Linked DNA regions of Callithrix jacchus. The protein of the gene in region 3 purifies or fractionates together with the protein of the main gene of each other region. This does not show direct contact. Links are inferred from orthologs where the notes say so. Each region holds a gene or a part of one and is shown on either strand. Other genes may lie near its edges.

Region 1 (7,304 bases), on a different chromosome or scaffold from region 3:
ATCACAAGGTCAGGAGTTCAAGACCAGCCTGGCCAAGATGTTGAAACCCCGTCTCTACTAAAAATGCAAAAATTAGCTGGGCGTGGTGGCACGTGCCTGTAATCCCAGCTACTCAGGAGGCTGAGACGAGAATTGCTTGAACCTGGAAGGTGGAGGTTGCAGTGAGCCGAGATCACATCATTGCACTCCAGCCTGGGTGACAGAGTGAGACTCTGTCTCCAAAAAAAAAAAAGAATTGGAGACTTTCCATCGCAGATGAGCAGGAAGGTACCCCATGGGAGACTGGCAAGGTGACTGAGTAGGATGACCAGGGGTTGATGAGGGTGAGAGGGGAGACCCCCCCCATCTCCTTCAATTTCACCTTCTCCCTCCCACCTTCCAGATGGGAAGGAGGGTGAAGAAGGAAAAAAAATAAAATACCAAAGAGCTGGGAAAATGACTCCCTTTTTAGTTCCCAGCATCTCTACTATCTGTTAACCTTGAAAGAGCTGCAAATAAATGCTATCTCTGCCAGCTGGAGCCTGGCACTGGTTCATGCCCCCATGTCTCCACGGACGAGGCTCCATCCTGGAAACACCTCTGCCAACAGCTTGTTGCTTTTGTCTTGTCTCTGTAAGCCCCCTCCCCTCCTGGTCCCCACTCTTGCTGCATATGAATTAGCAAATCAATGAAGCCAAAAGATTGTAAGGTTGGATGTCCAGCAAATGGGCAATGACATAGTTCGGCCTCAGTTTCCCCTTCAGCGTTGTAAGCCTATAAAAGTGGGGAGAAGCTGCAGCTTGGGGAGCTTGGTGAATGAGGCTGTAGCCCCCTGCAACTCCCTGCTGAATAAAAAGCCACTTACTTCCTCAGTTTGGTGTTCGAGAGGTTTGTTCCCTGCCACTCCTGCTTCAAGGGCAGTGAGTTCAAGGCATAGCCTACGGCTCAACCCAGGGAGGAGGCCTCAAGGCAGAAGCAGCACAGTAAGTCCTATTATCTGTCCCTATGTGCACTGCATGCTGGGCTGGCTACCGGACCCCACAGCAGGAAGTGGTTTGAGTTTCTGCTGAAGAAGGATACACTCATAAAGAGCAGGAAAGTCTAGACAAGGGAAAAAAACTCTGGCACTTGAGAGCAAGCTCAAGAATATTGGGCCTGGGCCAATAAAAGGCTATAATCTCTGGTTCAAAGGTGGAGAGGCACCCAAGTGACAAACTGCAGCAACCCCAATGTGTCTGGCCTACTGTGGCCCCCACCTGCTGCTGCCGCCTGTCTGGATTCTGCTCCAAAGGGCAGCCATGGCTCAGCAGGCCGGCCCCTGCTTTGAGAGCCACCAACACCACCACGGGACCAATACTACAAAGCAAGCACGAGCCGTCTGCTGGGGCCCCTCTGTATCATGGCCTCATTCTGAGCAGCCTGATTCTCCCACAAGCCATGGCCTTTCTCCCCCACTAGACTCCTAATCCCAGGCCTGGTGGCACTCAGTTCTCTCTGTCTGGCTTCTGTGGCCTCCTTTATCACCTGACTCTTCCTCTTCCCTCTCCCCGCTCCTTCCAAGACTTTTTCTGTCACCTCTGGGCTATGAGCTTTGAGATGCCTGGGTCATCCCTCCTTTTCTCCTCCCCAGTGGCCCTGCCAAAACAGAGCTGTACCCCTGGCACAGGGTCCCCTGGCCTGACCTGAGCTGCCCTGCTTCAGTGTGGATGGTGCCAAGAGAGCCAATCATAGTAGCAAAAGCAAACCTCCCCAACAGCAGCAGAGTAGAGGCTTACCTATGGGGCTAGTTAGGGGTAGGAGTTTCTGCTTTTTCTAAAACAGAGACACAGGGTCTGTTGCCTAGGCAGGAGTACAGTGGCTATTCACAGGCACAATCCCATTACTGATCAATCAGCCTGCTCTCTTTCTGACCTGGGCCAGTTCACTCCTTCTTAGGCAACCTGGTGATCCCTTGCCCTTGGGAGGTCACCATATTGATGCTGAACTTGGTGCAGATACCTGAACAGCAGAGCACACTGCAGCCCAGAAATCCTGGTCTCAAGCCCAGAAATCCTGGCCTCCTGCCTCAGCCTCTCCAGTAGCTGGGACTAAAGGTTCATATTGCTGTGCCTGCAGGGGTAGGAGTTTCTTTCTCTTTCTTTCCCCTTCCTCCCTTCCTTTCCTTCCTTCCCTTTCTTTCTTTCTCTCTCTTTTTCTCTCTTTCTTTTTTCTTCCACTCTCTCATTTTGAGAATCAAGGGGTAAGAGTTTGATGACAGTGTGTGCAGCTCTGCAGGGATAGAGAAAGGGTGGAGGCAGAGGAATGGAAGAGAGGAGCGAAATGGTGGAGCTTTGTGGAAGTAAGAAATGTTGGTCACTAACCTCACCTTCATCGTTTCAGTCTTACTTAGGGAAGGCACCAAGGAAGCACTTTCACTGCTGGGAGTGGTGGCCAAAATGGGGACTCACTGGCAAAGCCTTCATTTGCCACGTCAAATGCTTCCATGCCTGTTACTTGTCAGAGTCCCACAGTGACTGGGCCAATTCCATAAATGAGGAAAATGAAGCCCTGCTCGATAATCTGTCCAAGTAACAAACCATCTAGTGAGTGGCCAAGGTGGGCTTGGGCCTCCAGCCTACCAGATGAAAGCACTTCTGACCACACACCCTCTGAGACAGGGCTCAGCGCCATCATCCTGCCTGAGTCCCCTCAATCCCTCTGCTAAGTTGCACCTGACTCCCTCTGCCTTTCTCCCAGTCTACCGTCCTCACCCTAACAAGACCCTTGGCATATCATGTGACAGCCTCAGTGCCAAGGGCTTTTTCCCCACCAGCCGTGAAAGCTCCCCCACCTCCCTGCTCAAATCTTGTAGCAGTTGCCAAACACACACAGGTCATACCAAACTCTTGCATTTTATTTCTGTAAAAACTCCAGCTCTACCATCCCCTGATCCCAAGTCCAGGGCTACCGGAAAGTAGAGAAGCTCTGGGTGCCAGTGCTGGAGGCATACGGCACACCCCGAGAGCGAATCTGCAGGGTATGGAAGGTGAGGGGTGGGTTGGGGCCTGAGGAGCCTGGGTTCAGGGATTCAGTCTGAGGCTCCATGACAGTCACAGGGACTGCATAGGACAGCACCTGGGGCCGGTCATCATGGCGTCTCAGCGTGCCCTTGCCCAGGAGGTGCAGGATGCAGGAGAGGACATCGGTGCTGCTGCAGGCAGACCCTTTACCAAGGCTGCTGACCAAACCCCTGGGAGGACATGGGCCCTTCTGCCAAGCTTCTAGCACCTGGTGTGGGGAAGGAAGGGAGCAGTGGTAGGTTAGAGGCAGCTGACCTCTCCTTGAGCTCCCACTCACTCTAATCACAAGCAGCTAGGACAGGATTCCCCAAGGATACCAGGTGCACCCCGACCTCACTCCTCACACTCCTACAGGTTACTCAGTGAACCAGGTGCTTCACCACATGTGGACCCACCTTGTCCTGGAGACTGCTCCCCTAACCCCAGCAAAGATCTGTCACCCACTATGCCCACCCCCACCTACCAGACAGACAAGCTGGTCAATGTGCAGTCCCTCGTCCCCATGGGCCTTGAGGATTCGGACAATCAGGCAGTTCAGAAGGTTCCGTCTCTTCTCCAAGTTCCGGCCCTCTTCATCATCAGCTTGCAGGTATGTCTGAGGTGGGATGAGCCGCACAGTGTCCCATCTCGACCTGGCTTCCTTGCTGCCATCTCGAATCTTGAGGACCCCTGAAATAAACGCTGATCACTCACTCAGTGGAGAGCCCATGAGGAGCCCGGCCCTGCCTCAGAGTGGAGGCCCCTCTGGCCCTAAGTGCATACCTCCTGGTATATCCTTTTGCTCGTGAAGGTCCAAAGGGCCTCTTGAAGAGGTGAGGGGCCCAATCGCCTGATTGAGTGTGTCTGCGGAGAGGCCTGAGAGTGCTAGCAGACTCTCCACAGAGATCGACTTCAGAGAACAACAGATGGGAGACATTCAGGGCCTCCCCAAGGAGTGGAGAGGAGAGGACGGAGGGTTTTGGGAAGAGAGGCGAGGGACTAAGTGGGAGATGGGAGAGAGGTACAACGGGGCTGGGTCACCTTCAGATCATTGAGATACAGCAGTAGCCACATCTGCACGGTGGACACTTGCAGGGTCTGGTTCCCAAACTGCAGCTCAGCCCAGCCCAGCCACGTCCACTGCAGTCGCCTCTGTGAGCCTCGCTCTAGGGCAGGATGGCTCTGACCTGGAGACATACCAGGAATGGGGAGGGAGACAAAGAGCAGGGGAAAGGAGGGAGTTGGTATTGGAGGGAAGGTGCATACTGGTCAAGCTCTGCTGATCTCTGCAGGGCATATGACCCCAGCATTTATGGACACTGGGGCTCCCAGTCTGAGCTTCCAGATCTCAGCTTTCTCTGGGCCTGCCTCCATGGTGAACCTCAGGTATCTGGGAGCTATCCTATGCCTAGCCTGGTACCAGGCAGGCTCATCAGTGTCTTTGAGGGTTGCCCTACGGGTTTTTTTTTTTGAGACAGAGTCTTGCTCTGTCACCAGGCTGGAGTGCAGTGGTGCGATTTTGGCTCACTGCAACTTCCACCTCCTGGGTTCAAGTGATTCTCCTGTCTCAGCCTCCCGAGTAGCTGGGATTACAGGCGTGCATTACCAAGCCCAACTAATTTTTGTATTTTTAGTAGAGGTGCGGTTTCACCGTGTTGCCCAGACTGGTCTTGAATTCCTGACCTCAAGTGATCTGCCTTCCTTGGCCTCCCAAAATGCTAGGATTACAGGCATGAGCCACTGTGCCCAGCCAAAGACCATCTCTTTTCACATCAAGCCTCCCAACATCAGGGTCTGCCCTCAACCCCAGGTCCTTTCCTAGCAGCCCATCCTCTCTAGTCCCCTCGGCCTGGCTGCTCACTCTTGTTGTAGAAGTTGGAGTATCTGTTCAAAGTGCCACTCAGGTAGGAGGGTAGGCAGGTTCTGGGGTTCAGTGTGTGGCAGATCGAGGCGACAGGCCAGCAGTGTCGGGACAGGACAAGCACAGAAACTTCTGGCATTGCCCCTTCATAGTATAGGTCCTCATTCTCCTCCTCTTCCTCTGCTGCATCCACCGCTGCTGCTGCCCCAGCTCCCTCTTCCTTCTCACTCTTGTGCTCCTTGCCACTGGCCTCATGGTCCACCTGAAGGAACACAGGGTTCCCAGATGCCATGGCCTCCTCCAGTCTGCTCCATGCTTCTCTTCCCCCTACCCTCTCATTTGCTCATCCCTTCCAAGGCACTCACCTGTATTTTCTTCTCTGTATCCTCCAGCTTTAGGAGTTCCTGATCCAGCCTCTGGAGCTGGTAGACATGGAACTGGCGCTGCAGCTCCTTAGAGGTGCTCAGGTTCTGCAACATCTGCTGGGGGAGGCGGTTGGGGAAGCAGGGACCGATCTGCTCCAGCACGGCCCCCTCCAGCCAGCTCGAGAACACGCCCAGGAGACGGTCCGCCATGTAGTGCCTGCAGCACATGCAGCCCGGGCCAAGCCTCAGTGTGGGCAGCAGTGTGGCACAGCCTCCCGCTCTGAGACTCCAGCCTGCCTCTATCCCAGACTCCCAGGCCTGTGAGCTGGCTCTGCCACCGTCATCCTGTCTCCCGCTCCCTAGGTCCAGCTCCCACTCCCTAGGTCCACACTCACTGGTAATAATGCTCAAAGGTAGTGGCTATCTCCAAGCCGGAGAAAATCAGGACAGCTTCCAGGCATTGCTGCAGCTGTGCCAGCCTCTCCATTTCCTGGGCTCCACCGATCCGGCTGCCCTGGATCTGCTGGTCAATGTGCCGGGCGAACTGCTCACTCACCTGAGCAATGGCAGAGCACAGGAAAGCCATGAACGAGCCAGCAGAGCAGGTGAGTGGGAGGAAGGGGAAGCATCTAGAAAGTAGATATGAATGTGGGCTGCTTCCTAAGGTGGTCAGTGCTTTTATGCAACTATTTTATAAAATCATTAACCACTGTATAAATTAGCAATATTAACAATTACAGAAAGTGTCTTTTCGCATTGTGCCTAAAAATCAAACTAATAATAATCATTCAAAATGAGAAAATAAGGCCAGGTGTGGTTCATGCCTGTAATCCCAGCACTTTGGGAGGCCGAGACAGGCAGATGGCTTGAGCCCAGGAGTTGGAGACCAGCCTGGGCAATATGGCAAAACTCCGTCTCTACTAAAAATACAAAAAAAATTAGCTGGGCGTGGTGGCACATGCCTGTGGTCCCAGCTACCCAGGAGGCTGAGAGGATCACCTGAGCTGAGGAGGTTGAGGCTGCAGTGAGCTGTGACTGGAATACTACAAGCCTGGAAGAAAGTAAGACCCTGTCAAGAAAGAAGGAAAGAAAGAGAAAAAAAAAGAGAGAAAGAGAGAAACAGAAAAAAAAAGAGAGGGAGGGGAAAGAAAGAGAGGGAGGGAGGGAGGGAGGGAGGAAGCGGGGAAGAAGGAGAGTGAGAGAGGGAGGGAGGGAAGAAGAGGAAGGAAGGAAGGGAGGGAGAGGGAGGGAGGGAGGGTGGGAACGAGGAGGTAAGTTACATGCACAAAGATGGTCCTGCTGCAGTGTTCCTGATGAACTAGGACTGGAGGCTACACAAGGAGCCAGGGCTTCATGCTCCTGCTGCTCTGTACCCTGCTTTCCAGGGTGCTTCTTGCATTTTAGCTCATCATTTGTTTTTTGCTTTTTTTTTTCTTTTTGAGATGGAGTCTCGCTCTGTTGCCCAGGCTGGAGTGCAGTGATGCAATCTCTTCTCACTGAAACCTCCACCTCCTGGGTTCAAGCAATTTTCCTGCCTCAACCTCCCAAATAGCTGGGACTACAGGTGTGTGCTACTATGCCCAGCTAATTTTTGTATTTTTAATAGAGATGGGGTTTCGCCATGTTGGCCACGCTCACCTCAAATTCCTGACCTCATGATCCACCCACCTCGGCCTCTCAAAGTGCTGGGATTACAGGTGTGAGCCACTGTGCCTGGACACTATTTTTTTTTTCCATTCTTTGAATTTCTGATGACGTGGCTATATACTAACGTATGTTCATCATAGAATGGGAATGGAAGGGTGGGCCATTTGGAGGAGGTGAGGAAGGGAGTTTGTAGGGATGAGGCAAGGGTGGAGGCTTACATGGGCAGCTTTGAGAAAAGGGAGCTTCAGCAAGGCCCCTGCACAGCCATTCTGCAGCGCCAGCAAGAAGGCTGCCCGTGGTCCAAACAGCTCAGAGCTCGAGTTCTGCAGAATATTAAAGTGCTCACAGTAGCGTGGCACAAAGTCATCGTCCCGCCAGGATGAGGTCAGAAAATTGTCCACCTGGAAGGAAGGG
Region 2 (7,300 bases), about 95 Mb from region 3:
CTCAGCTCACTGCAACCCCCACCTCCTGGGCTCCAGTGATAATCCCACCTCAGCTCCCTAGTAGCTGGGACCATAGGTATAAGCCACTACGCAAGGCTAATTTTTAAAATTTTTTGTAGAGATGAGATTTTGCTGTGTTGGCCAGGCTGGTCTCAAACTCTTGAGCTCAAGCAGTCTGCCCATGTCAGCCTCCCAAAGTGCTGGGATTACAGACTTGAGCCACCATGCCTGGCCTTTAAATTTAATTATGAATCTGCCCATTCCTTAGCAGAATGTCTTAGATTATTATTGAGAATTTGTTCATCTTCCAAGTGCCTCTTGATCCTGCTGCCAGAGAAATTCCACTGGATGATATCAGTGGCTTTCTTAAGCCTGATACAGAAGTTGTTATTCTAAAAATTGGCTTAGCAGTTTTCCCTGAGCAAAGGCCACTTGCTTCTTGAAGAGTGGATAAAACATGGATTAAAGGGTAAAAACACTTTCACCGTCACCCCAGGTCACGGCAAACTGATGCTGTGTGCTGCTGGAGGCACAGCTTTTCTCTGCTGTCAGGCCATGACAGTGGGTATTTTGTTAACTGCAGCGTTTGTAAAACAATTTGGTTGTTTGGTTTTTCAAAATGGGGTGATGGAAAAGTTATGAACTTCAGTGTTTAATAAAAATTAAAATGTCAAACTGTAGGCAATGAGCTTGACTCTTACTTTATCAAAAGGTAGTATATATAACACTATGATCAGAAAATAGCTTATTCCTAAATATAAACTGCTTAAGATTCTGGCAGATTCAAAAGTAGAAAATAATTGGGTTTTTCCTGTTTGTTTGAACAAGAGAATTTTCTCTTAAATTTAATCTATAATTTATAATATGAAAGTTGTGAGAGTGGAGGCTTTTTTGCTTGATCATTAATGTAGCCGTGTTGCTTGCAGCAAGCTGTTATTTAATGATTTGGGTTTTTATAAAAATAAATCTTTTATGTTTAAATGTAGGAAGATATTGATGCAGAATCTTCATTTTCATTAAATATGAACTTCAGCAGTAAAAGAACAAAATTTAAAATTACTACATCAATGCAGAAAGACACACCACAAGTAAGTGCTTTTAATGTCACGTTGTTTTGGGGGACAAACATTTAAGCATTGGACTTCGCAAGTGTAATTTACATTGAGATCGTGCAGAACTTCGCATAGCAGAGTTAATAATGGGACAGCTTTTCTGGTTTGTTGTTTGCATTTACTAACTTTACAATCAAACAGAAATCTCTGCTTATAGTTTAGCTTTTTCTAAGGAAAAAGGTACGGTTTTGTTTTATTTGCTCTTTTTTTTTTTTCTTTAACAGCAGAGTCTTGCTCTTTTGCCCAGGCTGGAGTGCAATGGCATGATCTCAGCTCACTGCAACCTCCACCTCCCTGATTTAAGCAATTCTCCTGCCTCAGCCTCCTGAGTAGCTGGGATTACAGGTGCACACCACTATGCCTGGCTAATTTTTTTGTATTTCTAGTAGAGATGGGGTTTCACTGTGTTGGTCAGGCTGGAGTATTTGCTCTTAAACCATTGGACTGTGTAACTTTGCTTTGCATTTCTCCAAAAATTCCCATATTGAGAAGTAATAAAATCTCATATTTTTTATTTGTAAAATAAAGTTCTACAGCTCTTTTCTTTCAAAGTAAACTTGTCAGTAGAAAATGCTTCTTAAACTTACATGTGCAAATGAGCCACAAGGGCGTCTTGTAAAAATGCAGATTGTGGACCAGTTGCAGAGGCTCATGCCTATAATTCCAACACTTTGGGAGGCTGAGGTGGGTGGATTACCTGAGGTTGAGAGTTCGAGACCAGCCTGACCAACATGGAGAAACACTATCTCTACTAATAATACAAAAATTAGCTGGGCGTGGTGATGCATGTCTGTAATCCCAGCTACTTGGGAGGCTGAGGCAGGAGAATCGCTTGAACTCGGGAGATGGAGGTTGCGGTTGAGCCAAGATCGTGCCATTGCACTCCAGCCTGGGCAACAAGAGCGAAACTCCGTCTCAAAAAAAAATGCAGATTGTGATCTACTGGGTGTGGAATGAGGTCTTGACTCCTGACAGGCCAATGTGAGTTGGGGACTTCTGCTCTTCGTTCTTTTGACTCAGCAGTGATTGTTGCTTTGGTCTGCGATAGACTGTTTCTCTATCACTTAGGCTTCCTGATTGCCAACCGTGTGCAGTCGTGGGGCTGGTGCAGGATGTGAAGCTAATATAAGGCGTTAGACTCTCTCCACAAACTTAATTCCCCATGGTGGAGACAAATATTAATTTCCATTTACTTTGAAACCTAAAATGGTCAAGATTCCATTTTCCTCTAGGCTAATAAATAATAATTTGAAGTATATAGTGGTATTTTGTCTTTGAAAAGCTGTGAGGAGATCCTGTTAATGTGGCATGGCCTGCTTCTGTGCCCTGCTTCTCCTGTGTTTCTTGAGCTCCGTGGCTCCATAGAGATAGGCCCCATCTCCTGGCTTCTCTGCTTGAGCCAAATAAAATGGCACTTCTCAGCTCTTCCTTTGAAGCCTGATCCGGTATGCATTTGGAGCTAATTACTACAGTTGACACAACTCCATCTAAAAGCATCGTGATACAGATTCTGTAATCACTGAAAAGAAAATGATCTTGCAGATTACTACTGTGTCCTCCTTTATCGCCTCTTTTCCTTAACAGTATAGTTTATAATAATGTAAATTTTTTCTAATGACTTTCAGCTTTAACCCTAGAAACTATAGATGTTTTCTCAGTGGTTATGTGATATTAACACAACATAACTGTATAATTTGCTCACTATTGATTACAAATTTATCATTGTGGCACATGCCTGTAATCCCAGCTGCCCAGGAGGCTGAGGCATAAGAATCACTTGAATCCGGGAGGTGGAAGTTGCTGTGAGCCAAGATCGCGTCACTGCACTCCAGCCTGGACGACAGAGGGAGACCCTGCCTCAAAAAAAAAAAAATTTATTTGCACTCACTGATAAAATGAATTTAAAACACATTCAGTGACTTGACATCTTGTTCGCTCTTTTTTCTTCTGTAAAACAGGAAATGGAGCAGACTAGAAGTGCTGTCGATGAGGACCGGAAAATGTATCTCCAAGCTGCTATAGTTCGTATCATGAAAGCACGAAAAGTGCTTCGGCACAATGCCCTTATTCAAGAGGTAAAAGGAGGGCAGTCCTCAGGGCTTCTTAGGGTAGAGGGCATTGTCGGTGTACAGAGTCAGTCTCTTTCTTCTTAAAGAGGATACAGAAATAAACTGATCCTCAAGTAGCATAAAGAAATGTTTCATACTTAGAATCGTACTTGCTTCCAGTTTCAATATTAAATTCAGATTTGCAGGCTAGGCACAGTGGCTTGTGCCTGTAATCCTTTGTTGTTGTTGTTGTTGTTGTTGTTGTTGTTGTTGTTGTTGTTGTTGAGACAGAGCCTTGCTCTGTCGCCCAGGATGGAGTACAGTGGCATGATCTTGGCTCACTGCAACCTCTGCCTCCTGGATTCAAGTGATTCTCCTGCCTCAGCCTCCCGAGTAGCTTGGAATACAGGCATGCGTCTGGCTAATTTTCGTATTTTTATATTTTTGCATTTTCAGTAGAGATGGGGTTTTACCGTGGTGGCCAGGCTGCTCTTGAACTCCTGATATCGGGTGATCCACCCACTTCAGCCTCCCAAAGTGTGGGATTACAGGCGTGAGCCACCATGCCTGGTGAACACCTGTAATCTGAATGCCTTGTTAGGCCAAGACAGGAGGATCGGTTGAGTCCAGGAGTTTTCGACCAGCCTGGGCAACGTAGAGAGACCCCATCTCACCAAAAAATATTTTAAGAATTAGCCAGCTGTGTTGGCATACACCTGAAGTTCCAGCTACTTGGGAGGCTGAGGTGGGAGGATTGCTTGAGCCCAAGGAATTGAGCCTGGGTGACACAGTGAGATGCTATCTTGAATAATAATAAATTCATATTTGCTTTGGCTTTATTTTAGAGCTCTAAAACTTGCCAGTTCATTGAGTCTTCTGTTCAGTTATTGAAGGAAGTTGACACATCAGATACTCATTCATTCCATAAATATCTGAGCCTACCATATGATAGATGGCCAGGCTGGTCACTGGGTTGTAGTACAGAGCAGCTGAAGATGTGGCAGGCCCTTTTAGAGTTTACAGTTTAATGGGGAAGAATTATGTTATTGAAATAGTACACAAATAAATATAAAATTACATTAGCATGCCCTGAAGGAAAGGTACACAGTACCTTGAGAATGTATTTAAATGTCCTGACCTAGGGGATGCTGGGGAAAACTTTCTGGAGAAAGTGGTGTTTGAACTAAGAGCTGAGAGTTGAGTGACAGTTAAATAGAAGCTTGGGGTTGTGTGTGAGTATTTAATGTTTATTGTTTCACTTAATTATGTATCATTATTAGATTTTGCTGTATCCATTTTCCATATTTTAGTTCCTATTTTCATACTTCATTCTGCCTGTTTGCTGAAATTTCAGTGCATTTGAGGCACTTTAAACGGATTGGTTAAAAGTCATTACTTACAGCTGAAGAACGGGCAGTAGTTTGACTTCCACGTCTCTCTTCCACAGGTGATTAGCCAGTCAAGAGCTAGGTTTAATCCCAGTATCAGCATGATTAAGAAGTGTATTGAAGTTCTGATAGACAAACAGTACATCGAACGCAGCCAGGCGTCGGCAGATGAATACAGCTACGTCGCGTGATGTCGCTCTCCTCCAGCGTGGTGTGAGAAGATCATTGCCATCACCATTTGGTGTGTTCCTGTGGGAAAAGCAGGCCTGTGCCTCCATAATTTGGTCATTTGGCAGCCCCTGTTTTCTGCTGTTTACAACATCACCAGTGCCACGTCATGAGCGTCAAAGAAAATGCCTAGAGATATTTCAAGCTCATGTCATGATGACATTTCTTAAAACTTTCTTAAAAGAATGAGTGAAGTATTGCTGGAATGTGGAAAGTCGGTTGGGTACCATGCTTTTTCTCCCCTTCACGTTTGCAGTTGATGTGTTTTTTTTTTTTTTTAATGTATCTTAAAGGACATAAAATTTAAAAACTTAAATATTGTAATATGACAGATAACCTAATAATTGTATCTACATTAAAATGACAAACATGATACTGCTGCTTGTCAAATAAAAAAAAATAAAGAAATAGAATGCCTTTTTTATGTGAATGGAGTATCAGGTTGACCACAAAATATATAGAGTCAAAGCAGCTAATGGGCATCTTTAGTTGCATTTTTATCTGAATGGTTTAGTTTACTTGTACTTCTATTTAAATCCTACATGAAAAATGTCTAGATTATTGTTCTTGAATGCACTGGCCTGCATTCAGCATAAAGAATGCTTTATTTTTATGGATTCGATATATTGGAGCTAAGCATTTTGAATCTTGAAGATGTAATTTCATCGGCAGTTTCTGGTGGTGTGCTACCCTGCAGACAACGCAGAGTGTGAGCAGGATTCATGGTGACCTCAGTTCTGGCACAGAGAGAGCTTTTCATTCAGAAGTTGTCTTTCTTCTGTTGCATAATGCATTAATTCTAGCATAGACTAACATCCTAGCTCTATGGCTTTCCTGAGTCTTAGGAGATCCTGTGATACCAATGTATTCCTTCCATATGCCTTCCCTACCTGTTACCCTTACAACCCTCCTCAGACAGTTTATATACTAGAGTCACTCCCATCAGTCACAGATATGCTTAGCAATGCATAACCTAAATATCTTTTTTTAAAATAATTTTACATTGCACCCAGTGCCACTTATATATAAATCTCATTATTTTGTTTATTACATATATGTATCAACAGCAGTGTCAGAATACTGCAATCTATTATATTTATTGTCTGTCCACACCATCACCACCACCACACCCCTCTTCCCTCAACACACAAACAAATTTTTTTGTTTTTTTTAAAGTAAGAGACAGGATTTTGCCATGTTTCCCAGGCTAGTTTAGAACTCCTGGCCTCAAGCAATCCTGTCTCTGTCTCCCAAAGTGCTGGGATTACAAGCATGAGCCACTGTGTCCGTTGAACATTCAGTTTTTAAAATACGGAATATTTAAAAGCAAATCACATAAATTGTTTCACTTTTAATACTTCAGTTTTTATCTTGAACAAATAAGGCCTTTAAAAAATCCACAGTGACATTATTACTCCTAACAAAAACAATAATTAACTTAGTATTATCTAATATGTGGTTCATATTTAAATTTCTTATCATTTCGAAATGGATTTTACAATTGGTTTATTCAATTGCATTTTTTTCTAACTCATGTCTCTTAAGTGTTTTAAAAATCTACTGAACTTACAATGACTTCTATACTGTATTTCTCATTTTACCTTTCTTCCAAAGGAGGAAATAATGGCAAACCATATAATATTGTACATTCGCCGTCAAAAAGCAAACCCTTGTTTTGATAACTTGTTGATTGATAAAAGTTTTCCAAATTGATTCTTTTTTTCTTAAATATTTATAAATGTTAAATTAAGTTTTATCCTGGTATCTAATCGTCAAGAAAGTACATTGAAAAATGGACAGAATGCTTGTGCGGAGGTCAAAAGAGATGACTTACAGGAGTTTTCTTCACATCCTCTCTCTATTCAGCTGTAAGGAAACAACTCACACTAGGAAGAAAAGGGACCAGATCTGTTCAACCAAGGCACCATTCAAAAAGAGCAATGATTGGAATTCATTGTAGCACACACCTTCCCCTGCAGAGAGTGCGGGGAAGAGTTGCAGTCTTGTCACGTTAGGTGAGGAGATTGGAGTCACTGCAGAAGCTGTGGCATACAGCCCAGAGCCCTTACCTGGTACCTGGCCGTCCCAATGTGCAATAACTAGTGCGTGTGGGCAAAACAGCTCAGAACTACAAAAAGGGAAAAGGACCAAGGAGAGGAGGGTTTTTTATGCTTCACTGCAGAAAATGCATGTGAGCAAAACTCTCAGAAGTTTTTTAGAAGCCATTAATACTAAGGTAGTGATGCATTGTATAGCCAGCCAGCATGAGACCATGTCAACATGCCAATCCCTTCCCTTTGAAAGCAAATATTTTAATTGCTATTGAAGGTGCTGACTTACTCTAAGGTTTAGCCCAATATTTTATGACCATTTGCTTTAATATAAACAAACATTCTGGGGGTTGTGTTTGTTTTGTTGTTTTTAAGACAGGGTCTCGCTCTGTCACCCAGGCTGGAGTGCAGCGGTGCAATCACGGTGCACTGCAGCCTCAACCTGCTGGTCTCAAGTGATCCTCCCACCTCAG
Region 3 (8,346 bases):
CTGGACTACCATAATGCTATCAGATTTAGTACTGTAGACACCACAGAGGTATCCTTTAAATATGTTTAAAGGGAAAATTCTAGATTTAAGCAGCAGATAGGAAGGTTAGGCAAAAAGGTGTAGGTTTCAATGTAGCACACAAAAAATACAATGACATTCAACAGAGTATTTATAGGGTACTCACTCCGGCCAGATACTGTAATTTTTCTATGAGCAGCAGGATTCACATTGGCCTTGCTAATGTGAATTAGCAAGAGTACTAATTAGCTGTAAACTTTACTTTGGTGTAGTATTGATATTTTCGTGTAACCATCAAGGCACTTAGAGATACAAGAAGTACTCTGATATCAAAATTCTCATTACCTGTCTGTAATGGCTGAAGCAAAAGAAGAATACTTTGGGATATCTGCTTTCCAGAGGGCTCTTCAATCAGTTCAAGCAAACCCAACAATAATTCCTTTGGACTGCATAACTATAAAAATATTCACAATTGAACCTGTTTAATACAAGTTGTATTTAAAGCCACATTATTACTATTTTTAAGAAGGCACATATTGGCAAAATGTTATACAATTATTTTTTTGCTTAACAGTAAAATTATTTATACAATTGTTTAAAAATATGCACTAGCAAAACACAGAATCTATGATGGTCAAAACTATAAAAGTAAAAAGAAATAAGAAGTCAACGGATCTTTAAGCTCCTGTTTCCTTTGAGCTTCACCTGTCTACTCTGGAAGTTGCCTTAATAGAGTCCCAGGGACTCCACCAGGTGGTACCTTTCAATCCCATGCTGTAAGTCCTTTGAGCTTCACCTGTCTACTCTGGAAGTTGCCTTAATAGAGTCCCAGGGACTCCACCACGTGGTACCTTTCAATCCCATGCTGTAAGTCCTTTGAGCTTCACCTATCTACTCTGGAGGTTGCCTTAATAGATTCCCAGGGACTCCACCAGGTGGTACCTTTCAAACCCATGCTGTAAGTCCTTGGAGTTTCACCTGTCTACTCTGGAGGTTGCCTTAATTGATTCCCAGGGACTCCACCAGGTGGTACCTTTCAATCCCATGCTGTAAGTCCTTTGAGTTTCACCTGTATACTCTGGAAGTTGCCTTAATAGATTCCCAGGGACTCCACCAGGCGGGACCTCCCAAACCCATGCTGTAAGCACAGACTAGTCCAGAATCTCTTTTGTATTTCTTGAACAGGTAAAACTCTGCATTGCTTTCTAACTGGCCATATCTTAACATCTCATTTACCTGGTTTTTTAAAAGCTCCCAGCTCCCGCAGTCAATAATTCATACAGATGGAGCTCTTTCCAAATATATATTTGGGTATATTTGCACTGATCACTAAGCAGTTTCTTATAATATCCTTTTTCTCAGAATTAATCTTTCTTAGCCATCGATATTGACTTTAAACTCTACTAGACTTTTACCAAGGGTCTCTAAGGTTGTTAGTCACAACTGCTCTGTGTACTACCCCCTATTCCTACTTCCATTTTAATCATTTGCATTTTAGGCTTTCCATTTTCTTTTAGGGAACATACCACAAAGGCAAGAGGACTGAGATTTTATTCTAGATCCAATGTTGCCGAAAGATAAATGTAGCCTTGAACTACCTCTAAACCTTGTGTTCCACATCTATACAATAAGGCTACTTGTTAAAATACAGCTTCCCAGGTCTCTCCCTGGAGATGCTGAATCAATGGGTCTGATATGAGGTTAATATGAGGTTAGACAATTTTTATATCCAGAAAATTTGGGAAATCTTGAAATGGAATTGCCTATCCAATCAATAAGACAGAGTCTTTTCTCCAATGAGTTCCTTTCTGCATGTACTTCCATAAACCAAAAGCTTTTTACCAAACAATAAACATTAAAGGGAATTATACAACATTGCTGTGTGTTATGACAAAGAGAACCTGGTTTTGTTAACCTACCTTTACCAATATATCAAGGATCAAAAAATAAACTTTTCTTTTATCATCATCCTCTCTTTCTTTCCACAAAAGGCATCGAACGACAGGCCCAACAAGATTCCAGCCCATATTCTTGATGATGACCTGTAAAAACATTTTCAAAATAGAGCAAACACTGCCATCTATAGGACTCTAACAGTGTGCTTTCCTATCTTGGAAGAGCTCAGAATAGTCTCTTAAATAGGAAGATGAGACAAGTGAAGCCTATGACATTTCACAGACTTTCCAGGGTTGACTGCTAACAGATATCAACATTTTAAAATAGTGTTTAATATGTTCACTGAAGAAAGGCAAAAGGGTCTTTACTTTTTATCAGGCAAGTTAGTGTTTCCCAAAATTTAAATAGTTCCTCTATTTCCAATAAGAGAGTTAATCTGCTTAAGGCAAATACTTAACATCCACATAGAATTCTGCTCCCCTTATTCATAAAGAAATCCAGCCAATGCTCGTATACCTTTTAAAGTTCCTTGGAGTCTCTAATCAATGTAATTTATATAAAAAGAAGGGATGAAACTTCATTAATTTTCTCTCCTCCATACAAGTGGCTTCTACGTTCAAAGATATTTCAGAATGCCTACTACACAAGTAAAAGTTTATCTTTATAATTAATAATTTATATTCATTATCAAAATCACTGATTTTCAAAAGTATCAACAATGTATTCCACTTCTCTGGGCTGCTTTGTACTTTTACTCATCAGTATTTACCAAGCAAACAATATCATTTTCTAGGTGTTAGAAAAAAAAGTGAGGAACGCACTGGATAAGATCACTATCTTCCTAGAATTTACAGTCTAAAGAAAAAACCTTTGAAAGAGAGAGATCCAAGATGGCCGATCACTAGCAGCTCAGGCTTGTAGCTCCCAGTGAAAGCACAGAGAACGGGAGGATGCCACACTTTCAGATGAATTTTTGTTGCTCACGGACCAGGAGATTCCCAGTGGAGGAGCCCCACGGGTCACCAGTGCGACTCTTGTGGCCGGCGCGGCGGTTCTCAGTGCAGAGTAAACAGGACTGAGTCCCCTTTTGGTCGACGTTTGGGGCTCTGGGAAGGCAGAGTTGCCCATTCAGCTGATTAAAGAAGGGATTCTGGAGGGAAGCCAGACTGGAGACTCACGGGCAGAAAAGCACCAAGAATCTTGATGCCGCTGTTTTAGCTGGCACAGTGGGTTGCTCAGATTTCAGCGCTGGGAATTAACAAGTTGGACGTCCACTCAGAAACCTAATTTGAAAGTCTGTAATTACAAAGACGACAGGTGGATAAATTTACGACAGGAAGAAACCAGCATAAAAAGGTTGAGAATACTCAAAATCAGAATGCCTCTTCCTCTACAGAGGATCACAGTTCCTCATCAACAAGGGAACAAGGCCTGATGGAGAATGAGTGCATTCCAATAACAGAATGAGGCTTCAGAAGGTGGATAATAAGAAACTTCTGTAAGTTAAAAGAACATGTTCTAGCCCAATGTAAAGAAACTAAGAACCTTGAAAAAAGGTTTGACGAAATCTTAACAAGAATAGACAATTTAGAGAGGAATATAAGTGAATTAATGGAACTGAGGAATACAACACAAGAACTACGCGAAGTATGCACAGGTTTTAACATTCTAATTGATCAAGCAGAAGAAAGGATATCAGAGGTCGAAGACCAACTTAATGAAATGAAACGAGAAGACAAGATTAGAGAAGAAAAAGTAAAAAGGAATGAGCAAAGTCTCCAAGAAATATGGGACTATGTGAAAAGACCTAATTTACGTTTGATAGGTGTACCTGAATGTGAGGAAGAGAATGAATCCAGGTTGGAAAATGTTCTTCAGGATATTGTTCGGGAGGACTTTCCTAGCCTAGTGAGGTGGGACAGTGCTTGGCTCAGGGTGGTGCAGAGACCACCACAGGGATGTTCCTCGGGTGGAGCAACCCCAGGACACACGGTTGTTGGATTCGCCAGGGTTGAAATGAGGGAGAGTGTTCTGGGGGCGGCTGGTGAGGGGGGTCAGGTTGCCCATAAAGGGAAGCCTATCAGACTTACAGCAGATCTCTCAGCAGAAACTCTACAAACTAGAAGAGAGTGGGGGTCAATATTCAATATCCTCAAAGAAAAGAATTTTCAACCCAGAATCTCATATCCAGTCAAACTAAGCTTTATAAATGAAGGAAAAATAAAATTTTTCAAGAACAAGCAAGCACTCAGAGATTTCATCACCACCAGGCCTGCTTTACAAGAGCTTCTGAAAGAAGCACTACACACAGAAAGGAACAACCAGTATCAATCATCCCAAAAACTTACCAAAAGGTAAACAGTATCTCCATAATGAAGAATCTATGTCAACTAATGGACAAAATAGCCAGCTAGCATTAAATGACAATTATTAAACTCACAAATATCAAAATTAATCCTAAATTTAAATGGATTAAACGCCCCAATCAAGACACAGACCCGCAAACTGAATAAAAAGTCAAAACACATCAGCACTCTGTATCCAGATCCATCTCATAAGCAAGGACACACAAAGACTCAAAACAAAATGTTGGAGGAAGACTCACCAATCAAATGGAGAGAAAAAAAAATAACAGGATTTGTAACTTTCATTGCTGACAAAATAGACTTTAATGGTAACAAAGACTAAAAGAAACAAAGAAGGACATTACATAATGGTAAAAGGATCAATGCAACAATAGGAGTCAATGATCATAAATATATATGCACCCAATATAGGAGCACCCAGATACATAAGACAACTTTTCAATGACTTATAAAGAGACTTGGACTCCTGCACAATAATAGCGGGAGATTTTGACACCACATTGTTAATATTCGACGGATCAACGAGATAGGAAATTAACAGGGACATTTATGATTTGAACTCACACCTGGAACAAGTAAACTCAGTGAATATTTATAGAATTCTTCACCCCAGGTCCACAGAACATACATTTTTTTTAGTATCACATTACACCTATTTTGAAAGTGACCACATAAATGGAAGCAAATCACTCTTCAGCATTTGCATAGCATTTCACAGATTTAAATGAAATATTGGTTGGCTGTTTGTTATTTTCTTTCCTTATTCCTTCCTGTCTCCGCTGTTAAAAAAAAAAAAAAGAAAAGAAAAAAAGAATTTACATTCTAAAGTCCTTCTCTAAAAGCACGGTGGCTGGCTGGGCAAAGTGGCTCACGCCTCTAATCCTGGTAATTTGGGAAGCTGAGGCAGGAGGATCACTGGAGCCCATGAATTCGAGACCAGCCTGGGCAACCCAGTGAGACCCTATCTCTATTTTTTAAAGTTAAATAAAATGTTTTTAAGCATGGTGGCTCATTCCTGTAATCCTAACACTTTGGGAGGCTGAGGTGGGTGGATCACTTGACCTCAGGAGTTTGAGACCAGCCTGGACATGGCCAAACCCTATGTCTACAAAATACAAAAATCAGCGGAGTGTGGTGGCACATGCTTGTAGTCCGTGCTACTTGTAGGGCTAACTGGGAGGATGGCTTGAGCCTGGGAAGCAGAGGTGGCAGTTAGTCATGATCACACTGCTGCAAACCAGCCTAGGTGACAGAGACAGACCCTATCTCAAAAAAATATATAAATAAAGAAAAAGCAGATCTAACCCATCTGACAAGGAAATAATAACCAGAATAAAAAAGAAGCTCAAACAAGACTAAAGAAAAAAAATAATCTGATCAAAAAATTGGCAAAAGATTTGAATAGGTATTTCCCAAAAGAAGACATACAAATGGCAAACAAGCTTATGAAAAGGTGTGCATCACTGACCATCAGAGGAATGCAATTCAAAACTGCAATGAGGGTTGGGTGTGGTGGCTCACGTCTGTAATCCCAGGACTTTGGAAGGCCACGGCGGGTGGATGATGAGGTCAGAAGTTCAAGACCAGCCTGCCCAACATGGTGAAACCCCGTCTCTATTAAAAATACAAAAATTAGCCAGGCATGATGGCACGTGCCTGTAATCCCAGCTACTCAGGAGGCTAAGATAGGAGAACCACTTGAACCCGGGAGGTAGAAGTTGCCATGAGCCAAGATCACACCACCGAACTCCAGCCTGGGCCACAGAGTGAGACTCTGTCTCAAAACAAACAAAACAAAACAAAAACAAAAACTACAATGGGATATTATTTCACCCCAGTTAAAATGGCTTATATCCAAACGACAGGCAATAACAAATGCTGGCAAGGATGTGGAGAAAAGGAAACCCTCATACATTGTTGGTGGGAATGTAAATAAGTATAACCATTATAGAGAGTTTAGCAGTTCCTCAAAAAAACAAAAATAGAGCTACCGTATGACCCAGCAATCCCACTGCTGGGATACACTCAAAAGAAAGGAAATTAGTATATTGAAGAGATATCTGCACTCCCATGTTCATTGCAGCACTGTCCACAATACCTCAGATTTGGAAGCAACCTAAGTGTCCATCAACAGATGAATGGATAAAGAAAATGTGGTACATATAAACAGTGGAGTACTATTTGACCATAAAAAAAGAATGACATCCTGTCATTTGCAATAACATGAATGAAACTATAGACCATGATGTTAAGTGAAATAAGTCAGGCACAGAAAAACATTGAATGCTCTCACTTATTTGTGGGATCTGAAAATCAGAACAACTGAACTCATGGACATGGAGAGTAGAAGGATGGTTACCAGAGGCTGGGAATAGTGGTGGGAGGCAGAGGAGATGGCTAATGGGTACCAAAAAAAAAATAGTTACAAGTAATGAATAAGATCTACTATTTGATAGTACAACAGGGTGACTATAGTCAATAACTAATTGTACATTTAAAAATAACTAAGTATAATTGGATTGTTTGTAACACAAAGGATTAATGCTTGAGGGGATAGATATCCCATTCTCCATGATATTATTATTACACATCGCATGTCTATATCAAAACATCTCACGTACCCATCAATATAAATGCCTATGATGTACTCATTAGAATTTTTTTTTTAAGCTAATCTAGCAAGAAGACAAAATGATACCTATAATACCGCATCTTGACTCCAGTCTTTTTTTTATTTTTTTTGAGACGGAGTTTCACTCTTGTTATCCAGACTGGAGTGCAATGGCGTGATCTCAGCTCACCGCAACCTCCGCCTCCTGGGATCAGGCAATTCTCCTGCCTCAGCCTCCTGAGTAGCTGGGATTACAGGCACGCACCACCATGCCCAGCTAATTTTTGTATTTTTAGTAGAGACGGGGTTTCACCTTGTTGACCAGGATGGTCTCGATCTCTTGACCTCGTGATCCACCTGCCTTGGCCTCCCAAAGCGCTGGGATTATAGGCATGAGCCACCGCGTCCGGCGACTCCAGTCTTATAAGACAATAGTGTATAGGATATTGTAGTCTCCCCACTTATCTGTAGGGGGTACATTCCAAGACCCCCAGTGGATGCCTGAAACCATGAATACTACCAAATGCTATATATAAATACTATACATGCATATCTGTGACAAAGTTTGACTTATAAATTAAGAGATTAACAGTAACTACAACAATTATAATAATATACTGTAACAAAAGGTATGTGAATGGTCTCTTGCAAAGCAGTTAATAGTAAATCTTTTTATCACTTTTCTTTAATTCACTTTTACAGTTGATGATAATAGTAAATCTTGATCATCTTGATAGTGTCATCTGGCAAAAAAATTAAATTGTAGTCAGCTTTTTGTTGTCGTTGTTATTGAGCTGAGGTCTCACTCTGTCTCCCAGGCTGGAGTGCAGTGTTGCGATCTTGGCTAACTGCAGCCTCTGCCTCCCAGGTTCAAGCAATTCTCCCATCTCATCTCCTGAGTAGCTGGGGTTACAGGGATGTGCCATCACGCCCAGCTAACTGTTGCATTTTTTGGTAGAGACGGGATTTCACCATGTTGGCTAAGCTGGTATAGAACTCCTGACCTCAGGTGATCCACCCTCCTTGGTCTCCCAAAGTGCTGGGATTATAGGTGTGAACCGCTGTGCCTGACCTGTAGTTAGTTTTGAACATTGTCCTATCAATATCTAAACCTCTGCATTTAGCTGACCAGACATTAAAGAAGTGATTCTCAAATTAAGACTAAGCCTCACATTATTTAAATCTATCCTGTTAGCTATTCAAAAGCATGCTAAAGATAAAACACTGAGGCATGCAATGTCTGAAAAATAATTTGTTTATACTTCCCTTTTCCTTCTGCCTCACTGACGTGGTGCTGATCCTCATCTTCTTGCCAGGCCTCTTCTCTCTACCTCTTTCTTAAATTTCTCAAGGTGGGATCTTGGGGCTCTTCTCTTATGCCCCTTTTCTGTGAACTCAGGTAAATTCTTGTTTTCTTCCCCCTCAATTACCTAATCTTTAGGTAATTAAAGTCTC
Region 4 (8,972 bases), on a different chromosome or scaffold from region 3:
ATCCAGGCGGCCGGGCGCTGTGGCTCATGCCTATAATCCTAGCACTTTGGGAGGCCGAGGCGGGTGGATCATGAGGTCAAGAGATCGGGACAATCCTGGTCAACATAGTGAAACCCTGTCTCTACTAAAAATACAAAAATTATCTGGGCATGGTGGTGCACACTTGTAGTCCCAGATACTCGGGAGGCTGAGGCAGGAGAATTGCCTGAACCCAGGAGGCGGAGGTTGCGGTGAGCCGAGATAGCACCATTGCACTCCAGCCTGGGTAACACGAGTGAAATTTCATCTCAAAAAAAAAAAAAAAGAAAAGAAAAGGCATCCAAGCAGCAGAAACGGCATGTACAAAGGCTCAGAGGCGTACACCAGTACAGCAAGCTGAGGGAACCAGGAGGAATTCCATGAGGCTGGAACTTAATGTGCAGCTGGGAACAGGTTGAGAGTTGCATGCTGGGCAATGTGGGGAGACCTCATCTCTAAAAACATTTTTAAAAATAAGCCAGGTGTGGTGGTGCACCCCTGTAGTATGAGGTACTCGAAGGCCAAGGTGGGAGAATCACTTAAGTCCAGGAGTTCAAGGTTGCAGTGAGCTATGACTGTGCCATTGCACTCCAGTCTGGGCAATAGAAACCCTGACTCTCAAATAAAAACAAAATAGGGAAGACAACAGGAATATCAGTTTGATGGCATGCCTGTATTTTCTGGGGAGGGGTGGGCAGAGGTGGTGGGCTTGGTGTGCAGCATGTCATGTTTGAGTTCCACTCTTGGAAGTTCTTCTGCCTGTGTGATGTTCCCCAGTCTCTTACACCAGACACACACTCTTAGAAGATAGATACTATGTCTGGCTGGTCACGGTGGGTCACGCCTGTAATCCCAGCACTTTGGGAGTCCCAGGCAAGCGGATCACGAGGTCAGGAGATTGAGACCAGCCTGGTCAACATGGTGAAACCCCGTCTCTACTAAAAAATACAAAAATTGGCAGGGCATGGTGGCTTACGCCTGTAATCCGAGCACTTTGGGAGGCCGAGGCTGGTGGATCACGAGGTCAAGAGATCGAGACCATCCTGGTCAACATGGTGAAACCCCGTTTCTACTAAAAATACAAAAAAATTAGCTGGGCATGGTGGCGTGTGCCTGTAGTCCCAGCTACTCAGGAGGCTGAGGCAGGAGAATTGCTTGAACCTGGGAGGCAGAGGTTGCGGTGAGCTGAAATCACGCCGCTGCACTCCAGCCTGGCGCCTGGTGACAGAGCGAGACTCTGTCTCAAAAAAAAAAAAAAAAAAAGAAGAAGAAGACAAAGATAGTTACTATGTCTTACGATTTCTGTGCCACCTCATCCTTCCTACCTGCCCCAACCCATCCCAGGCACATGCTCTGTGCTAAGGGACTACAGCTAAATTGGGTTTAATGGAATCCAAGCTTCTTCCCTGCCTAACTCTTGAGATCTGATAATTGGGTCGCAAACATTACACCTCTACATGGCTGGTCTCTGGATTTCTGCTGTGCTGCTCTGGAGGAGTCTGAGAGAAGCCACCCTTCTGTTGAAAGGGGCTAGGCTACCTGGGACCCTGCTGCCAGCCCAAAAGCTGCCACATCGACCTTAGGACTGGGCCCTCTTCCAATCCTTCCCACCTCCCCACATGGGAGAGCATGGGCCTGGGGCAACTGTAGCAATAGGAAGAATGGATGGACTGGAGGGAGGAGTGTAGCAGTGAGAGCAAAGACCAGCCTCATGTTTACTGGTCTCACCAAACCTCAGCTCTTTGGAGACCTTTGCTCCTAGAAGTGATGGAATCCTTACCCCACCCCTCTGCCCCCCTTCCTGCCAGGCACCCAAGCAAGGTGCTATTCCAGAGTAAACCCACAGCTCTTGAGCTTTCTTTCATTCCCATTGGGCCATCAGTAGGAAAAACTAACAGAAAAAACTCCCGTTGAATGTAAAGTCAGAGGCAGCTGGGAACCAGCAACTGAGCCTGCACTTCCCCTGCAGAGTCCTCAGCTGCAGGCGTATGATCTGAGGGTGGAGAGGAGCCCCCCGTCACGAGGAAGCATGTGAGTGTGTGTGCCTGTGTGCCATGCATTCATGTCTCTGTGTGTGCTCTGTGTGCACGTGTGCTCATGTGCATGTATGCATCTGTGTGTATGCCCTCATGTGTCCACATCTGTGTTGCCCATTACGCATGTCTGTGTGTGCCCTGTGTGTATGTGAGATGAATGTGCACTCATGGCAATGCCCACCCAGGGGAGGGGCAGGGGAGCTGTGGGAGCAGTGGGGTACATCTTTGCAAACTTGCTGCTGTGGGCAGGTAGGTAGGAGTGGGTTTGGATATGGTTGTGGGAGCAGGAGCCACGTGTCTGTTGTGAGGGAGGATTTCTGCCGGGGTGTTTGTGAATGATGACTGGATGACTGAGGTGGGGCAGCCATGCTTCTGGCTGAGGCCCCGCCTTCTCATCCTTCCTGGGGTCACCTCCCAGGGCAGCCACCTTGGCCAGAAGTGCCCAGGTTTGATGCTCTGGCCTGGGCTGGCATGGCCAGCAGAAAGCACAATGTCTTCAAGGCCCAGTGGAAGGACGACATCAGTCTCTGAAAGCTAAGGGGGCATGTGGAAGTGTAGGGTGGGACTAAGAAATCCCTTCAATTCCTCCAACAGTGGCTGACAAAACAGACCCCATATCCAAGGAAAGCTGTGCCCTAGGATGGGAGGATTGCAAAATGGAGGAGGCTCTGTCTGTTCTGGTAGTGGGGACCTGGGTGACACCACTCTCCAGATGCCCAAGGACTGCGGGGCCTCTGGGGACAGCATTTGAATTAGGTCATAAATGATTAGGAGAATGTCAGAGGAAGGAAGTAGGAGGGGAAAGGGGGCATTCTAGGCGGCAGAAACAACCCGAGCAAAGGCACAGAGGCGGGAAAATGGAGGGTGTGCTCCAGAAGCTGCCTCCTGCATGTTCATGGAATAAAGCTGAGGCCCAGAGAGAGGAAGTGTTTCTAAGACCTAGCAGTAGCCTTGAGGTCCTCTCACTCCAGGTCAGTGCTTTTTGTTACCCTAGAAAGCTTACAGGAGAGCACACCAGGGAGTCAGCTGTTGGTTTGGTTTCCTTTGCTTTCTTATCCCCAGCTAAGTCTCAATCAGGGATCGATCCTTGTTCTTGGCCTTCCTCTGCCAGCAGCTAGCTGTGTGATTCTAATAAGTCACTTCCCCTCTCTGGGCCCCTCATCTCCAATATGAAGGAGGTATAAGGCCTTGCTTCTACCTAGAAATGCCAACTCTGACTCTCTAAGCTAAAATGTGGCTTATTCTCCTATGCCCAGCACCCGGCAGAATCTATAGCACTACACGGGTGCTCAAATAACTGTTTTTGAATGAAGAAAGGAAGGAAAGAATGAAAAGCATCATGACTCTTCCTTAGCACTCTGCTTTGACAGCCTCAGCCTCTCCCCGCCCCAGGCAGGACAAAGGATGCAGGAGTCCCAGACCTTGAAAAGGAAGTCAAGGAAAACAAATAACTTAACTACATGGGGGCCCTAAACTCTGCCTCTGGGTGGATGCCCCTGAGAGAACCTTTCCTTGCAGCCTTGGCCTTGCTGAAACTGTGCAGTGGTCAGGGCCTGGAGGAGGGGCAGGGACCTCTAGCAGACCCAGAGGCAGCTAGGCCTGAGCCAAGACTGGCCCTCCCCTTGCTCCCTCCCCACTCACAGCTTCTCTGCTTCAAGAAGTGTCCCAAGCCTTCTGGTCCCAACCCTGAGGGGTTGGGCTGGCTCTGAAACCTCCTGTTTCCCAGGCCAATGATACCTTCATTTTTCCAGTTGCAATAACCCCTTTTTTTGAGGCCCCCTCCTTTCATGTTAAGAACTTTATTGCTCATTTCCCTCTTCCGTGACAGCAGCTGTATTTCTTTAACTTTGTGAAACACACACACGATCTATGGTGGTAGAAGTCGGAATCAGTTGCCTCTGGGGCGGAGACTGACTGGAAGGGGACACAAAGGCATTTGGAGGTAGTGAAAATGTCTGAAATCTTGATCTAGGTGATGGTTACATAGGCATATATATTTGTCAAAATTCATCAAGCTGTACACTTAAGATTTATGCATTTTACTGTATGTGGAATGTATGTTGATTATACCTCATAAAGTACTGCTAGCATCTAAAAGATACACATATGGAAAAGTACATGAAACATACATGTTCAGTTTAATGAATTATTTAGCCAGCGCCTGTGAAACACCACCCACGATACCTGGTGCCCCTGTGTAATCCACAGAGCTTGGATATAACCAAGCAGTTTCCCAGGGACCCCAGCACCCACAGACAGGGCACCTCAACTCCAGACACCATGTGCCTCTCGCTTCCCGGATTCATGGAAACATAGAGGCCAAGGATGGGGCAGAGCCCATGGGCTTTGGAACCTAGAATTTCCCATCAGTTCAACACCAGGCTTGACCACGATTCCCATTCTAGTGAATTGAAGGAACAGAAAACACACCATTTCCCCTTTCTGGGAGGGGAGTTTCCGTACTGGCCTCCTCCAGTGAGTCTTGGCTGGGGGGTGGGGGTTGTCCCTAGTTAAAGTCAAGGAGAACTGTGCCTTCCCTGCATCCCTGCTAAAAATAACTCCAGGCAGTGTTGCTGCCACTGAGCAGCAGGAAGGACAGAGTCGTGTTTTGCTTTAAACCTAGAAGCAGCTCGGCAATTGGGGGCTAGGGTGGGGTGGGAGAGCAGGCTAGGGATCTGAGAACCCTGGCTGTGCTCAGTGCACCCCCCCCCACCCCCAGCTGCAGCTGGTCTTCCGGGGGTGCCTGGGAGGGGTGTATGTGTTAGCGCATGCACGCGCATGTGTGGTGACAGGGCCTCCCAGTAGCAGAGCAGGAAACCAGGGAAGGCTGGGAATGTGTGGGGAGGGGTCTCTGTCCTGCTAACTGGAGCATGCAGCTGGAGGGCCAGGCGTCACGTCACGTACTCCATGGGGTCCCTACCTCCTCTGAGAAGCGTTCTGTTCCTGCAGCCCACGCCAGGCTCCCTGGGGTTGGAGAGGCTAGTCTTCTGCAGCGTGGCCGCCTGCCCCTCAGGGCTCCTTGCACACACGGGGCTGGAGATGGTTGCTTGGTAGTCCTTGTCTCTGTCTGGCTTCTGCTCTGCCCAAAGATATTGGGAGGTCCTCAGGGGTGGGTGCAGTCCGGCAGCGAGGAATTTCCCTGGAAACGGGAAGTACAAGATGTGTCAATATGGGATCCTAGCAGAGGAGTGAGAGGCTGAGTAAAGGGAAGGGAAGAGGCCCTCCTGGCTGCTCAGTCTTGCTCTCTCCTCCCACCACTCCCCTGCCTGTCTTATGCATCAGAGGCCTCCAATTGTTGGTCTCTCTTTCTGTATGCTTGTCTTGGGTCCCCGGCTCCTTGGAGCCAGGATCATCCTGCAGTTGGCCTCCATTTTCCAAGGTAACAATAAAGAAGAATCACCATTCATTTCACAGGTACCCCGTTCCAGGCACTGTGCTGACTCTGATGTGGATGTTCTCATTTAATCCTCCCAGCAAACCTGTGATAGTGGAATGATTACAATTCCTCCCTATTTATAAAGGAGGAAACTGAGGCTTAAAGTGGTGAAGTGCTAGTCTAGGATCTCACTGGCAGTACCTGACAAAGACAAGGCTTGAAGTCATGATATAGAACACAGAGCATGTCCAAGATGACTGTCCAGGAGACAATAAGAATTTTAGGGCCAGGCATGCTGGCTCCTTCCTGTAATCCCAGCACTTTGGGAGGCCGAGGCGGGTGGATCACCTGAGGTCAGGAGTTCGAGACCAGCATAGCCAACATGTTGAAACCCTGTCTCTACTAAAAATACAAAAATTAGCCAGGTGTGGTGGCAGGCACCTGTACTCTCAGCTACTTGGGAGGCTGAGGCAGGAAAATTGCTTGAACCCAGAAGGTGGAGGTTGCAGTGAGCCGAAATCATGCCACTGTACTCTAGCCTGGGCAACAGAGCAAGACTCTATCAAAAACAGAAAAAAAAAAAAAAAAGAATTTTAGAAATTTGATATCTGGGCCAGGCACGGTGGCTCATGCCTGTAATCCCAGCACTTTGGGAGGCTGAGGTGGGCAGATTCCCCTGAGGTCAGGAGTTGGAGACCAGCTTGACTAACATGGCAAAACCCTGTCCCTACTAAAAATACAAAAATTAGCTGGGCGTGGTGGTAGGTGCCTGTAATCCCAACTACTCGGGAGGCTGTGACAGGAGAATCGCTTAAACCCAGGAGGCGTAGGAGGAAGCAGTGAGCTGAGATCGCACCATTGCACTCCGGCCTCGGTGACAGAGCGAGACTTGGTCTCAAAAAAAAAGTAAAAAGAAATTTGACCATCCTAGATAATTTAGGACACATGGTTGCTGAACTTGATGATTTTGTTTAAAAAAACACACGTATATATACATACAAACACCAAAATAACCCCAAAATAGTGGCTTTACATTCAAAATTTGTACTCCCAGTTGTGATTTTGACCAAGAAACTAACCATCCTGACAAGTCTCAATTTCCATCTCTAAAAAATGGGTACAATAATCCTTGCCGAGGATTACTGGAGAGTAGTGTATTTGAACCCAGCCTTTTTTCTAAACCTAGAAAACACAAAGCTCCTTCATGCCTTGAGGCCTTTGCATGTGCTGTGCTGTTTCCTGTGCCTGAAACCCTCAGCTTCCAGATGTTCACGTGACTGGTTTATTCTCGTCCTCCAGGTCTTAGCTCAAACATAACCTTCCTCCGAGCAGCCTTCCCTGACTACCCAACAGACCCCCATCACACTCAATTGCATCCCTGTTTCATTTTCTTCTTTGTACATATCGTGATCTGAAATTTCCTTACTTATTTTTTCTGTTTGCTTTTTTATGGCCTGTTCCCCTCCCAACTGCCAAGGATATAAATTTCTTGAAAGCCAGAGGCCAGGCGTGGTGGCTCACACCTGTAATCCCAGTACTTTGAAAGGCTGAGGCAGGTGAATCATTTGAGGTCAGGGTTCAAGACCAGCTTGGCCAACATGGTGAAACCCTGTCTCTACTAAAAATTCAAAAAACATTAGCCGGGCATGGTGGTGGGCGCCTATAATCCCAGATACTGGGAGGCTGAGGCAGGAGAATCACTTGAACCCAGGAGTCGGAGGTTGCAGTGAGCTGAGATAGCGCCACTGCATTCTAGCCTGAGCAACTGAGCGAAACTCCGTCTCAAAAAAAAAAAAAGAAAGAAAGCTGGAACCTCTGTGGGGTTGAATGATCCATTCACGGTGCTCAGAGCAGTGCCTGGCAAACATCAGAGCTTGCTAAACATTTATGAATGAATGAATGAATGAGCTTTGAAAATAGCATTATATTTAAGTGACTGACTCTCACGGGCCTTGCTGAGAGCAGTGAATGTGGGCTAATGGGGGATCAGAGGAGAGTGCTTTGGGCCTGGCTCTGGCCCAGGCTCAGCCCTGAAGCTCCTGGGCTGCAGGGAACCATGAGGCTGCCTGGGCTTCCGGCTGCTCCAGGATAAAGGTCAACTCTTGCTGGAACACGAGGTTCTGCACCATCTGGGCTTGCCTGCCTCTGGCTTCATCTCCCCAGGCTCTCCAACCTGCACTCCATGTCCAGCCAGACCAAACAACTCCCAGTGCCCACCAGAGAACACCGGGCTGCTTCACGCCTGTGTGCTTTTAAACACACTGTTCCTTCTACCTGGAACACCCCGCACCCTTGCTCTGCCTGGCCGGTTCCTCTCTCCCTGAACCTTCTGCTCTGGCCACACCCAGTCCCCAATTTCCCCAGACACTGTAATGACCTGTTTTTGTGCATTTTCGCAAGTAACCCAGGGACTCAGACTTCCCAAGTAGCCCATATAGGGCAGTGACCAGGTTGTGTGTCCCCAGTTTGTAGTGCAATACTTGGCACACACAGTAGGTGCTTAATAAATGCTGAGGCACAGTTTTTGGACTTTGGTTCCCAGGGCATTAACTCAATTCCGGGGACACAGAGTAGGTGCTCCATAAGTGCCCACTGGATTAACAAGGCTGAGCAATCTGATACTGGCAGAAGCTTGGGGCAAGATGAGGCATAGGGGCAGGAGTAAATGGAAGACACTTCCTGGGAAACAAGATGGTGTCAGAGGGAAGAAGCCAGAAGGGATCTTGGGAAAATTCCCAGAAGACTGAAAATACAAAAAGCAAAATAGGCCAGGCACAGTGGCTCACATCTATTATCCCAGCACTTTGGGATGCCAAGGTGGGTAGATCACTTGAGGTCAGGAGTTTGAGACCAGCCTGGCCAGCATGATGAAACCCCATCTTTACTAAAAATACAAAAATATTAGCTGGGCATAGTGACGCACATCTGTAGTCCTAGCTACCTGGGAGGCTGAGGCAGGAGAGTGGCTTGAACCCGGGAGGTGGAGATTGCGGTGAGCCGAGATCATGCCACTGCCCTCCAGCCTGGGTGACAGAGCAACACTTCATTTCAAAAAAAAAAGTAAACACAGATAGATGGAGGTAAATAGGACTCTCAGTGAACAAGGACAGAGAAATACAGAAGGAAAGATAAACGAAGAAGAATGAACTCAGAGAAAGAAGAAGTTCGGAAAGGCAAAATGTGCCCACGAGAGCCATAGAGGACAGACTGCCAGAGACCAGGACAGGCCAACTAAATACATTATGTCTGGTGCCCCTGCTTCATCCCCTGGGGGTAGGGGCTTGGGCAGTGTGTGCCGTGGTCCCTTCCTTGGGTGACAGGGCTGAGTGAAAGTCCATACATCATCAGGACATCTTGGAAAACGCTTCCTCTCTTAGCTCAGGAGAGGCCCTGTGATAGGAAACAAAGCACCCCAGAGAACAACTACAAACCTGAGTTTCTTGCCCTTAGGCAAGCAACTTAGCTGCTCTTGCCTCAGTTTTCCCAGCAGGAAGGTGGGCCCTATTCTTACTTGAGAGACATATTAAGACCACACTGAGTTA

What was found.
Region 1: the proteins of GLMN (region 3) and CUL7 purify together in Homo sapiens (affinity purification with mass spectrometry; 4 studies listed by BioGRID and IntAct, counting the BioPlex papers as one, with this or other methods). This does not show direct contact. The link is inferred for Callithrix jacchus from reciprocal best matches to the Homo sapiens genes GLMN and CUL7.
Region 2: the proteins of GLMN (region 3) and CUL2 purify together in Homo sapiens (co-immunoprecipitation; 4 studies listed by BioGRID and IntAct, counting the BioPlex papers as one, with this or other methods). This does not show direct contact. The link is inferred for Callithrix jacchus from reciprocal best matches to the Homo sapiens genes GLMN and CUL2.
Region 4: the proteins of GLMN (region 3) and FKBP5 purify together in Homo sapiens (affinity purification with mass spectrometry; 3 studies listed by BioGRID and IntAct, with this or other methods). This does not show direct contact. The link is inferred for Callithrix jacchus from reciprocal best matches to the Homo sapiens genes GLMN and FKBP5.

The regions. Positions count from the first base shown.
Region 1 is NC_133505.1:51,516,238-51,523,541, forward strand, and holds the end of CUL7 (cullin-7), read right to left. Parts: intron 7,292-7,304; coding exon 7,109-7,291; intron 5,800-7,108; coding exon 5,639-5,799; intron 5,461-5,638; coding exon 5,244-5,460; intron 5,141-5,243; coding exon 4,879-5,140; intron 4,205-4,878; coding exon 4,059-4,204; intron 3,928-4,058; coding exon 3,801-3,927; intron 3,720-3,800; coding exon 3,502-3,719; intron 3,247-3,501; coding exon 2,923-3,246; 3' UTR 2,852-2,922; downstream 1-2,851. UniProt on the Homo sapiens protein: Core component of the 3M and Cul7-RING(FBXW8) complexes, which mediate the ubiquitination and subsequent proteasomal degradation of target proteins. Core component of the 3M complex, a complex required to regulate microtubule dynamics and genome integrity.
Region 2 is NC_133508.1:34,638,836-34,646,135, reverse strand, and holds the end of CUL2 (cullin-2), read left to right. Parts: intron 1-986; coding exon 987-1,088; intron 1,089-3,070; coding exon 3,071-3,187; intron 3,188-4,607; coding exon 4,608-4,739; 3' UTR 4,740-5,184; downstream 5,185-7,300.
Region 3 is NC_133508.1:130,016,907-130,025,252, forward strand, and holds part of GLMN (glomulin), read right to left. Parts: intron 3,211-8,346; exon of another isoform or gene 2,783-3,210; intron 2,061-2,782; coding exon 1,938-2,060; intron 473-1,937; coding exon 364-472; intron 1-363.
Region 4 is NC_133505.1:44,019,702-44,028,673, forward strand, and holds the start of FKBP5 (peptidyl-prolyl cis-trans isomerase FKBP5), read right to left. Parts: upstream 5,245-8,972; 5' UTR 4,975-5,244; intron 1-4,974. UniProt on the Homo sapiens protein: Immunophilin protein with PPIase and co-chaperone activities. Component of unligated steroid receptors heterocomplexes through interaction with heat-shock protein 90 (HSP90).